Linked DNA regions of Arabidopsis thaliana. The protein of the gene in region 2 interacts with the protein of the main gene of each other region in a pairwise test. Each region holds a gene or a part of one and is shown on either strand. Other genes may lie near its edges.

Region 1 (3,843 bases), about 13 Mb from region 2:
CTTCTTAGTACCTCGTTGATACAAGAGGAGTCTAATTGTACATTAGCCGAAGCTAATTCTTTCTCGAGATTACTTGTGCATCCTTGAAGCTGGCCGTATAATCTCTCGGCGGCTGAGACAGTTGTTAAAAAACGTAAAGCTGAGATTTTTGAGGGCTGAGATCGTAATGAAGGAGATACCAGACGAGAAATCAATGAATTTGGCATCTGGGTCGCTATAAGTGTAGCGATTGATGAAAGATTTCGTTAAGAAAATCGTAAGAATGAGACTTGAGTGAGAGAAATAGGAGAGTTTCGCTTTCGCAGATGGAAACGACGACGAAAGACTAAACGTATGGGCCGACATAATAATGTAGCCCATTAAGACCCAATAAGAATTGCTCATACATCTTTGTCAGATCTGAATCGGAAAAGCAATTGAAGTCAGATTAGGTCACAAGATTTCATGATTTCGTTAAGAACTTCAAATAAGCTACACTTCTTTTTCTTTTCTTTTTTGAGCAACTGCATATAAGCTACACTTATACCATGCTCAGAAACTGTGTATTTATCTAGAAGACGTTTGTGAATTTTTGGTTTAATTTAGAACTCTTGTAAGATATCAAAAAAAGATAGTTTCATAATTTTTGGTTAATATAGCAAGTTTGTAACTAATTTTTGCTAATTTAAATCTTTTTAAGGTTGCATCATACATAGGACTAGTTCATGAGAAGGCCAATCATCCAAAATTACAATGACCCCACACAGATAGACTATATAACGATAACGAAAAATACCAAAACACCCTTTTCCCACCACTAAAATAAAAAATCACGATCGTGGACGCAAGGCTTCAAAATTCAGCCCATGAGCCACCTGACCAGCACAAGCAACCCACGGATTGATAGAAACGGGCCTGTGATTGTGGTGATGGTTCGATGATGATGGGCCACCCACACGCTCGCACGAAGGACACATGATGAGTGTAGTTGGTGGAGTCATCTGACCGTAGAATTGTGGAGACAGCTTGAGAGTTCGAAGCTCCATAGCCTCTTTCTGAAGTCTCCGGTTCTCTTCCGTTAGCTTCTCTACGCACCGTTTCAAGTATTCGCAATCTACCTCCGTTTGCTTTAACTTGGTTCTGTAAAACCAAATCGGACCTTGTAAGTAAAAACTTCTACACAAGGGGGTATAAATGTAATTTTACAATTTTGGTGTTAAGACAAGAAAATCTCACCTAGCTCTTCTGTTTTGGAACCACACTTCCACTTGTCTTGCCGTCAAGTTCAGCTTCTTAGCCAAAGCTAGCTTCTGTTTCTGTAAATTATGATAATAACCTTGGTTATTTCAAAGTAATTACGATAATTATCATTTGATTCCTCTGACTTTTTTACACTTACGGGATTGAGAGTGTTGTGTTCTTTGAAAGTCTCTTCGAGAAAAGCAGACTGATCTTTTGATAACCTGAGCTTCTTCCTCGACGTTTCGCCCCCGTCTTCTTCTTCATCTGAGGTTCCACGTGAGTACCCTCGATCCGGAGTGATCTCGTCGTGATCGTCGCCGGAGCCAACGCCGGTTCCGGAGATTCCTTCTCTCTCACTTCTCTTCCCGCTAATGGTGCTTGAGATCGTACTGTTTGGTGACGAAACTCCTGTGTCTTCCTCGCAGTTAACCGTTGATGGAAAACTGTTCACGTCTATCTTGCGAAGATCTGCAAAGAGCAATCAAATTTTAAGTTTGAGATCTGTTTTTATTTTACTTGGAAACGAAGAAAAGTCTCATACTTCAATTCTGAAATCTGTTCTGTTTCTTTAAAAAAAAAAACAGAGAAGATTTAAGTATATACCTGATGTAGGATCGAATGTTTGGTTCCATGGGAGTCTCTGGAGATTGTTTGATAATGAAGAGTTAGGATTCAGATTCATCTGAAGAGGATTGTGATTTTGTGAAAACCCTAAGCTTAGGCTCAAACCTAGATCTTCTTTGCCCATCATCATGTTTTTTATTTCCTTTCACAAGAACTCAACAGTTTCAGGAATTATATTTCCTTATGAGAATAGAGAAAGAAAGAACACGAAATGGTTTGTTCTTTCTGAGATAGAGATGAGAAATGGTGTTTGTTTCAACTCGAAGTTAGGACTCTTTGTGGAAGAGAAATAGAGAGAGATGTGAGATGGTAATGAAGAAGAGAGGGGATTAATATAGTACTTTGAATGATGAGAGATTTTGTCAGGTGGCTAATTACAATCCATCATTATTGTTTCTTTGTTTTTGGACTTGTATTACTTTATCTCCAACTTGTGTCCCCCCTTTGGCCTTTGCCATGTCTTTCTTTTTGTACTTTCTCAATATTTGTGTTTTTCTTTTTCTTTCACAAACATTTTTAGTTTATTCCTTACAAGAACCCATGCATAATAAGATGGCAGTTTGTCCAAAACAAATAAGATGGCCAATATGTTTTCAAGTGTACACATGTATATGTGTTTTGTGTCTGAAGATTTAAAGCCAATGTCTTTAAAACCAATAGAAATGTCCGGACCACTCTGAGAAAGTAATCTACAATTAAGTGAATCATCAAGGTGCGATGTTTTTTGTATATGGATAACGCAATTTGCACTACTTGTGTTAATTTTCATGATCCATATCATGTAGTATGTCTCAAAGTTGATAAATACAATAATTCTCGTACTTCGTTTTGTCTTAATCAAGTACACGTCATTATACTCAAAGTACATGTATTATGTGGATATCAATAAAAGAAAGTATAGAAAATAGTATCTTGATTAGTTACGGCATACCGAGCTGAGTCAAATCTCCAATAGTGTAGCCAATTATTTGTCCAAATATTTTTTAAAGAGAAAAGGGAAAATAGTATTTGAGGTTGGATATAATGGAATATTGACTAATTGGAGTGGTTGGTACAAAACACAATCAAAAAGAATCTGAACTTGTTCAAAGTTGTGGACCAACCAACGGTTATGAACCAATGATATACGTGTGAGATGAATATTTGCACATAAATATCATCATCATGGTTTCTACTTTCATCAACAATGACATTTTAAAGCTACTACTTTTTTTCGTTTCTTCCGTCAGTAAAACCTTTAAATGTTTGTGCTTTTTCCTTTAGAAATAAAAATTTAAATGTGAGCAATATTGGTCAAGTGTGTGTAAATGTATAACCACTTTGCGTACAGTAACATGGAGATAGGAGCATGTGGGTCATAACAGCGTGATCGTGCGTGTTGTGTTGTTTCCTCACTCGCCTGCTCCTTATCATGTGTAACCATCCGCCTCAATCAATGCTAACTTGTTAATTATTTGATTCCTTTAACTGCTGCCTACTTTTTTATCGTCTAATATTCCTTTCTTTTCACAAAAACTAGTTGTAGACTAACTTCAGTTTTTGTAAATAGTTGTTTTACAATGCCTGAAGCATGTAAACTTAATTGTTCTAGTAAACTACTAGTGATCGTTGCATAATCATAATTCACAATCCAAATAAAAGTGTCATTAGTGTATATGTAAACAATAAAAAAATGATGGTTTGGATATACTTTTGTAAATATATTTCATGTTTATTTAGAAAAAAATAACATGTAAACTAAAATTCCAAAAACAATTTAATAATTTCCGCCTAACGTAGACATGTATATAGTGAAATTATGAAGAGATACGGCAATGAGCGACAATAATTGAGAGCAAAAAGATGGGTTTCGTGGTGAGAGATATTATGAAAAGTGGGACCCAACGCTTTACATAAGATCCGACAAGATGTCGGAGTTGTGTTTCAGTGTGATCTGGCTGTCCCACGTGTTCACTCTGACTTGTGCCACACGCACTGACCAAGTGCGTTATATCCACG
Region 2 (5,494 bases):
CTTGTTTTCTTTGCAAAATCCTTTTATCAAAGCGTTATACGTGATTGCATTCGGTGTAACCCCGGTTTCAGACATATTCTTGAAAATCTCGAAGGCCTCGTCTGATTTTCCATGTGAGCAGAAACCCTTTATCATCGTATTGCAGCTTAACATTGTTCCTCCATAGCCATTTCTCAACATCTCATTGTAGAATGCTTCAACAAGCGAAATTTCGCCTCTTTTAAAATGCCCGTGTATCATCACATTGTAAGCGAACTCGTTTGGTCGCATCCCTTTCTTTATCATCTCAAACCAAAGCTTCCTCGCGCTCCCTAACCATCCCTTCTCACAGAATCCTCGAATCATCGTAGTATACACAACTCTATCAGGTGCATAGCCTTTATCTTTCAGATTCTTGAATATACAATAAGCCTCAAGCTGCTTCTTATTCATACACAACCCCTTTATAATCTTCTGGTATATATACATACTCGGGAAATGGTTCCACGCTATCATCGTATGAAGAACCTCCGACATACAAGCATAGTTCCCAATCTCACAGAATCCAGATATCAGTTTAGCATACACATACTGTCCTGGATCAAGCCCTTGTTTCAATCCCTGCTTCAAAAGCTCATAGCCTTCTGAAACATCCCCACCATCACACAAAGCTCGAATCAAACACCGAATCCTCTCTGAATCAAACTCAGATTCTACCATTTCCTTATGAAGTTCCCAAAACCGATCGAGTTTCCTCGCTTTCAAGCAACCTAATAAAACAGAATTGCAAGTCACAACTGAAGAACTAATTCCCATATCTTTCAGTACATTATACACTTCAATAGCTTCCTCTACCAACCCTTCTTCACTAAGACACTTCACGTATTGCTCTAATAACGTAGGCTCAGGTTTAAAGCCAGTGGTATCGAGAAAACTCTTCGCAGCTTTCACGGCTTTTCCATCCAAAAGGGCACCAAAGAGAATATTCAAAGAAACAGGACCAGGTGTGTAATCATAATTGGAACACAACCACCGGAAAAACCACAGAGAAAACAGAACATTGTTCTGAGATTTCAACAGTTCGCCGAAAAACAGAGGATCAGCGAAATCAAACGAAGGAAAATCAGATACCAGAGTTTGTTGCCATCTCTGTCTCTCTCTCATGATGGTAGACACAGTTTTAGCCATCTCCGTATAACTCACAGCCGATTTTTGCTCATCGGGCTTGGATTCACAATCACGAGACTCGACAGTTAGACTCCGTATCTGGGTATTAGGGTTCTTTCGAGTTCGGTTTCTAAAGAAGCTAATCAAATACGACTGACCTCTACTCATGGCGTATCACTAACTCAAAAAACTCGTGGGCAAACTCGAAATCAAGCTCCAAAGAGAGCCAGAAGCAAATTGTAGAAGAAAGGAGGTGAATTTTTTATTCCGGGAAAAGAAAGTCGAATACTTATCACCGGAACCCTAGATTTGGATCTTTCTGTGTCATTTCCAGGAGATGATGAAAAAGGTTTGGACTTTGGAGTAAATAAGAATAATTAAACAAAGTTTATTACAGCATCAAATATAATTTGTCAATAATGTTATGACGACATCAATTTTTAGATTGGTCTTGCTTTTAAAAAAAAAATAAAAAAGAGGTCAATTTGACGGATAAAAAAAGGTGCTTGCTTTGCTTTAGCTTCTTCTTCTTCTCTCTCTGTATCTATCTATCTATCTATCGTCTTCGCTGAAATCCCTAATTAATTTGGTTCCTACCACCCTCAATTTCCCGCGCAAAGAGAATGTGGAAGGTCATGAAATGAATCCTTTTAGTAAATTCCAATCGACGACATCTAGCTGAAAGTTTCAAGCTTTCTCGCAATCTCCGTCCTTTACCGATTCGTTTGGTCTTTGGTGGTCGCTTCGACGAGAATGGAGAGGTAGTTTTCTGATTTTTGTTTCTATTTATTTCCCTGAATTTCATATCTCCGTTCTTGTGTTCGTTGGCTTCAATTAGATAAGTGTACTTAGATTTCGAATCTTCTTGTAAAGCTTCAAGTTTTGAAAATTGTTATGTTTTCAATTGCAGTGTAGATACTGAGCTTACTAGTTTCAACAATATGGTTGCTAAATCATCATATCCTGTACGGATTTTGCATCACAACAATGGTATTAGTGAAGATGAAGAAGGAGGTTCAGGAGTTGAACCTTATGTGGGTCTAGAATTCGATACTGCAGAGGAAGCTCGTGAGTTCTACAACGCTTACGCTGCTAGGACGGGGTTTAAGGTTAGGACTGGTCAGTTGTATAGATCAAGAACTGATGGTACGGTTTCGTCTAGGAGGTTTGTTTGTTCGAAAGAAGGTTTTCAGCTGAATTCGAGAACTGGATGTACCGCGTTTATTCGTGTGCAGAGACGTGATACAGGGAAATGGGTTCTTGACCAGATACAAAAAGAGCATAACCATGAGCTTGGAGGTGAAGGTAGTGTTGAGGAAACGACTCCGCGACCTTCGAGAGCTCCAGCTCCTACAAAGCTAGGTGTTACTGTCAATCCACATAGACCCAAAATGAAAGTTGTTGATGAGTCTGATAGAGAAACACGGTCCTGCCCTGGTGGTTTTAAGCGGTTTAAAGGTGGTGGTGGTGAAGGAGAAGTGAGTGATGATCATCATCAAACACAGCAAGCTAAAGCGGTTACGGGTACTGAGCCGTATGCAGGGTTGGAGTTTGGTTCAGCTAATGAAGCGTGCCAGTTTTATCAGGCGTATGCGGAAGTTGTTGGGTTTAGAGTTCGTATAGGTCAGTTGTTTCGATCCAAAGTTGACGGTTCGATCACATCAAGACGGTTTGTTTGTTCAAGAGAAGGGTTTCAGCATCCTTCAAGAATGGGTTGTGGAGCTTACATGAGGATTAAAAGACAAGACTCTGGTGGTTGGATTGTTGACCGTCTCAATAAAGATCATAATCATGACCTTGAACCAGGGAAGAAGAATGACGCTGGTATGAAAAAGATACCGGACGATGGGACAGGAGGATTGGATTCTGTTGATCTTATTGAACTAAACGACTTCGGCAACAACCATATCAAGAAAACTCGAGAAAACAGGATTGGTAAAGAATGGTATCCGCTGCTTCTCGATTATTTCCAGTCTAGACAAACCGAAGACATGGGATTCTTTTACGCTGTCGAATTGGATGTCAATAATGGAAGTTGCATGAGCATTTTCTGGGCGGATAGCCGAGCAAGATTTGCTTGCAGTCAGTTTGGTGATTCCGTTGTTTTCGATACTTCATACAGAAAAGGAAGCTACTCTGTTCCGTTTGCTACTATCATCGGTTTTAACCATCATAGGCAACCCGTACTTCTTGGTTGTGCTATGGTTGCTGACGAGTCTAAAGAGGCTTTCTTATGGTTGTTCCAGACATGGCTTCGTGCCATGTCGGGTCGTCGTCCTAGATCCATTGTAGCTGATCAAGATTTGCCTATCCAGCAAGCTTTGGTCCAAGTCTTTCCCGGGGCACATCATCGGTACTCAGCTTGGCAAATTAGGGAAAAAGAGCGGGAAAACCTCATACCGTTTCCAAGCGAGTTTAAGTATGAATATGAGAAATGTATATACCAGACTCAGACAATAGTCGAGTTTGACTCAGTTTGGAGCGCTCTCATCAACAAATATGGTCTTAGAGACGATGTTTGGCTCAGAGAAATCTACGAACAACGAGAGAATTGGGTTCCCGCGTATCTAAGAGCAAGTTTCTTCGCTGGAATCCCAATAAACGGAACCATTGAGCCCTTTTTTGGTGCTTCACTTGACGCTCTAACGCCTCTCAGAGAATTCATTTCTCGATATGAACAAGCACTCGAGCAGAGAAGGGAAGAGGAAAGAAAAGAGGATTTCAATTCTTACAACTTGCAGCCGTTTCTACAGACAAAAGAACCGGTGGAAGAACAATGCAGAAGACTCTACACGCTTACCGTCTTCAGAATCTTCCAGAACGAGCTCGTCCAATCTTACAATTATCTCTGTTTAAAGACTTATGAAGAAGGAGCAATCAGTAGGTTCTTGGTGAGGAAATGTGGGAACGAGAGTGAGAAACACGCCGTGACTTTCAGTGCGTCGAATCTCAATTCGAGTTGCAGCTGTCAAATGTTTGAGCACGAAGGACTTCTGTGTCGACATATCTTAAAAGTGTTTAATCTGCTGGACATAAGAGAGCTCCCGTCTCGGTATATACTGCACCGATGGACCAAGAACGCAGAGTTTGGGTTTGTGCGTGATATGGAATCAGGCGTGAGTGCTCAGGATCTCAAGGCCTTGATGGTTTGGAGTTTGAGGGAAGCTGCTTCTAAGTACATAGAGTTTGGGACATCGTCTCTGGAGAAGTATAAGCTTGCTTATGAAATTATGCGTGAGGGTGGGAAGAAACTTTGTTGGCAGAGATGATGAACTCGGCTTGACCATGTAAGATCAATCTTCTTCATTGATGTCTGAAATTAAAGATCATCCGTATCATGTCTGAAAGTTGTTGAAGATTCTAGTGTGAGAAATGAAAGAACTAAAGAGGTTGTTATCGTTGCTGTAGGTGTTTTTGCTTTACCCTTGAAGAAGATAAAGTCTTGGTCGCCGTTACTTAATCTTAACCTTTTTGATAACATCGTCGATGCAAGAGGTGGTGGTGGAGGTGGGAGTTTTGTGGTCATTGTGGTTCCTAATGATAATCATCATTGTAATGACGACGCTTCCGGTGACATGTTTGTTCTCTTGTGTGTTTGTTTATGTTGCTTGTTCCAGAGGATCTGAGAAAGTGAGAACTGATAAGAATTAGGATTTTGTTATTTTGGGAGTGGGCGGGGAAGATGCAGATCATGTTTAGAGTATCAAATCGTTTGATGCTAAGTTGTTGCAAAGAATGTAATGTGTAATATTATTATCAATCTCTTTTCTTTTTTTTCTTCACACCAACTAATCATTTTACATGATCATAATAATCAAACAAAACAAAAGAATAAACACACACAAGACACAACACACAAATTACACGATCTGAAGCAAATGTAAAACCGCTTTTAAGAAGAATCATGAAACTCAAACTCTCCCAAGATGAGGCCTTTCTCCGGAGGCGACTGTTTCTCCGACTCCAGCATGAATAGCTCCGGTGCACAACAACTGAGTAGCACTCACAATTATAGTCAGAACTTCAAGAGTTCTCTGCAAAAAAGAATCAACAAAACACAAAACATGATAAGTATCCGTAGAAAAACAGTTTACAAATTCAGTTTCTTAGAATTAAATTTTAAATCAGAGAGTAAAAAGCTCACTAGATTGGCTTCGGTCCAGCCTATGTTGATCTCCTTGCAGGCCAATCTGTATCAACATCATATCGGTTTAGATTTGGTTTAAGGAGAATGAAAAGAAACTGAACCGGATTAAAACCGGTTTAATTTAATAAAAACCGGATGGTTAAGTTTGTTTACCCCATGGCGAGGAGAGTGAGAGACCAGGAGATTAGAGAGGAAGCCGCG
Region 3 (3,160 bases), 9.2 Mb from region 2:
CTTATGCCGCTGAACAGATTTACCAATAATCAATAGTGTAATTTAGGTTTTTAAAAAATAGCATTAACTGCTTTCTAAGCCAAATCTTGCAAAACCTCAGTCCATGCACTACCAATACAAGGTACTAAAATAAAATAAAATACAAGGTACTAAAATACTACAGATAAAAGCTCTTCTTTGCTTGACATAATTAGATTTACGAGAGTTTCACACACAAGTACACAACCATGTAAGGTCTTAATTGTTTTTGTTTGCGTTAGATTTACGTATTTGCTTTTCATATTCTTATTATTTTAATCACAATCTTAATTCTTTTCTTAATAATTTTTCAACATAAAAATGCAAATGGAAATGGAAGAAAATAAACCGTTTACGGCTGGTGTATATTTTTTTCAAAGACACTACTTAAGCCAATTTAGAAAGAACAAAATTGGTCATTATAAACGTAAAATTTTAAAGAGAAAAAGAAGAAAGTCTACTGTTAGTAATTGATGCTTGTATTTACATTTTGCAAAAATATTTATGCATGTAATTTTTTTTAAAATTATACTTCAGCAATGTGAATTTTTATCGTTTGTTATGCAAACAATTGTGAAACAATTTCTTACTTCTATTCACGGGCAACACAAGTTTGAAGAACTCTGCTTTAACAATTACTAATTTAGAGTCTTAATTAAATCTTAAGCTGAGACAGATCTCTGGATATACATTTGTTGATACATACTAGAGCCCCAAAAAAATAAAAATAAAAATCATCTATACAACGTCGTCGTCGTCTCTGATGCAAGAGAAAGGACTCTGATTCTGAAGCTGCATATCACTAATCATTTGCTTAAGCTCAGTGGTTTCCTCTTTGAGCTGAACATTCTCTTCAATAACCTTCTCTTGAGACTCTAAAACGCAGTTAAGCTTACGAAGCAGCTGATGATTCTCATCCCTAAGCCACATCACCTGTGACCAAAGCTCATCCACTTGTCTCTGCTTCCTCATACGCGATCTTCTTGCCGATTCTCTGTTAGATATCTTCCTCTTTTGCTTCCTCTCATTTATTATCTCCTTATGATTCTCTTCTGCTTCATCTGAGGTCGAGTTGTTGCTGCTGATCAAACTCATGAACTGTGAAGTGTTCACGCCAGTTTCGAAGCTGAAGAATGGATTAGGGTTTTGTCCGCAAAATGGTGAGGATGTAGGAATATGGGAAAGGTACGAAGGTGGACAACCATGGAGGCTAAAAATGTTGGTGGATGGTTGCATTATCGGTGGAGACTTGGGACGCAAGGTAGGGTTTACTCTTAGGTGATGGAAGAAAAGAAAGATTGTAGGATTTAGGGAATTGTGATGAATGTTTGGTGTGTGTGGTGAGAAGAGGTGTTCATATAGACTAGTAGGGGGACAATTGTGGACCATGGTTTCTTCATTTGGGTCAAACCAATATAAAAGCATCTAACAATCATGCAGCTAAAACGTGTATTTATATAACTTTATTTATTATTTAAAAACACGATCTATTTTTTCACCTATAAAATTATTGAACTACTTAGAACGAAATCTAAATAACTTATTTTTTAAAGCCTGTCTAAGATTTATTAGAAGTTGGTTGAAGTCTTAGGGTGAAAAATGGCTTTGTAAATGAATGATTGGGATTAATTGAGTTTTTCTTTTCTTTCAATGGCTAGGAAACAAATTGTTTTTTTTTTGTTGTGTGGAAATTTCAAATATCTTTCAACTTATTTTTTAAAACCTATCTAAAATTTATGAGAACTTGGTTGAATTTTTGGGGTGGAAAATGGTTGTGTGTAAATGAATGACTGGGAATAATTGAGATTTTTCTTTCTCTCAATGGCTAGGAAACAAATTTGTGTTTTTTTTTTTGGAAATTTAAAATAACTTTCAACTTATTTTTCTGCAAAATAGTAGATAAATAAATTGAACAAACTACTTTTATAATTTGGTCAATTTTTTTCAATTTTGAGTTGAATGAATTAAATCATTTTTTAATAATTTATTCATCTTAAATAGTAAACGTTTGGAGAAATTTCAAAATGTCCATTTTCTAATACCGTACCACCACTTTTTGAAAATGACTTCTATCTAAAATCTTTTAAATATTTTATTATATTAAGCTTGGTTTAATATATATACATGTAAAATTACACATTTAGAAAAAAGTAATTAAAGCATATAATATTTTATAGAAGTGTCGGATTGACACATATAGCAATCATGCGTAATTCTTCATTTTCGTCGTATTTTGCTAAAAGTTCGACCTATGTAATTAGATTCTGTTAGGGGAAGGGTGGTGATTTTGAAATTTAACCTTTTGAAACCCAAGAAACATATGGGCTTTTATAACCATCCAAATTTATATTATCTTTAATTTTTTTTTAGTGTTGTTAGAAAAAAAAAAAAATATTACGTGATGGACTTAATTAGTACTAGAGGAAAGCATCTCATCAAGAAGAACAGAAGAAGCATAAACAGACCTATGAATGAGACCTTGAAAAGGTTGAGAGAAAACAAATTTAAGAAGCTAAGTGTCCAATTCTTTTGCATATTTGATGTGTTCGTTTAGTTTTAATAAAGCATAAATCTTTGTTCATAAGATCTCAACAGAAAATGAACTACAAATCTCTAATCAATCTACAGTGGTATTCATATCACATGACTTTCTTGTTTTAACATCAATTCTGACAATTCAACTATTCAATCATTGACCACATCGGTTTCTTAACAATCAAGTTATTGGATATAGAGAGCCCTCTTCACCTAGGTAAAACCTCATAGGCCTTTTGATAACCATACAAAAAAATATTAGTTTGCTCTCACTCTACGCCAACAGGGTGATAAAGCTCACACGTAAGTAACCTGTAAATGACAAGTAACACTCTTAACCAAAATAGCTTGACTCGTTGGCTTGGCTTTCAAGATAAGATCCTCACTCTGAGTTACCTAGTAAATCGTACTTGTTCTGCAGGAGGATTGCCTGCTTGTTCTTTACATGTCGACGTTGTTGTGGTTTTGACTTGAGTTGCTTCGAATCGTCAATACTAAGATCCTCTATATAGTCAAAGGCAAAAACATTGCGAAAATATTGTCGTTTCTAATCCGATTGACCTTAATCTTCGGCAAGGAGTAGATATACTGTGACCATTCCTGTTTC

The links.
Region 1: the proteins of FRS12 (region 2) and HAT2 interact in a two-hybrid assay, tested with the Arabidopsis thaliana proteins (one large-scale study listed by BioGRID).
Region 3: the proteins of FRS12 (region 2) and bZIP43 interact in a two-hybrid assay, tested with the Arabidopsis thaliana proteins (one large-scale study listed by BioGRID).

What each region holds. Positions count from the first base shown.
Region 1 is NC_003076.8:19,215,673-19,219,515, forward strand, and holds HAT2 (Homeobox-leucine zipper protein 4 (HB-4) / HD-ZIP protein), read right to left. Parts: upstream 2,336-3,843; 5' UTR 1,976-2,335; coding exon 1,825-1,975; intron 1,690-1,824; coding exon 1,379-1,689; intron 1,296-1,378; coding exon 1,216-1,295; intron 1,120-1,215; coding exon 810-1,119; 3' UTR 599-809; downstream 1-598. Other genes in the region: AT5G47360 (Tetratricopeptide repeat (TPR)-like superfamily protein), read right to left, coding at 1-206. UniProt on the Arabidopsis thaliana protein: Probable transcription factor that plays a role in auxin-mediated morphogenesis. Negatively regulates lateral root elongation.
Region 2 is NC_003076.8:6,328,657-6,334,150, forward strand, and holds FRS12 (FAR1-related sequence 12), read left to right. Parts: upstream 1-1,640; 5' UTR 1,641-1,899; coding exon 1,900-1,907; intron 1,908-2,056; coding exon 2,057-4,415; 3' UTR 4,416-4,433; intron 4,434-4,554; 3' UTR 4,555-4,994; downstream 4,995-5,494. Other genes in the region: AT5G18950 (Tetratricopeptide repeat (TPR)-like superfamily protein), read right to left, coding at 1-1,314; AT5G18970 (AWPM-19-like family protein), read right to left, coding at 5,058-5,180, 5,291-5,336, 5,447-5,494. UniProt on the Arabidopsis thaliana protein: Putative transcription activator involved in regulating light control of development.
Region 3 is NC_003076.8:15,537,549-15,540,708, forward strand, and holds bZIP43 (basic leucine-zipper 43), read right to left. Parts: upstream 1,342-3,160; 5' UTR 1,255-1,341; coding exon 757-1,254; 3' UTR 593-756; downstream 1-592. Other genes in the region: AT5G38810 (F-box and associated interaction domains-containing protein), read right to left, coding at 3,058-3,160. UniProt on the Arabidopsis thaliana protein: Probable transcription factor involved in somatic embryogenesis. Acts as a positive regulator of BHLH109.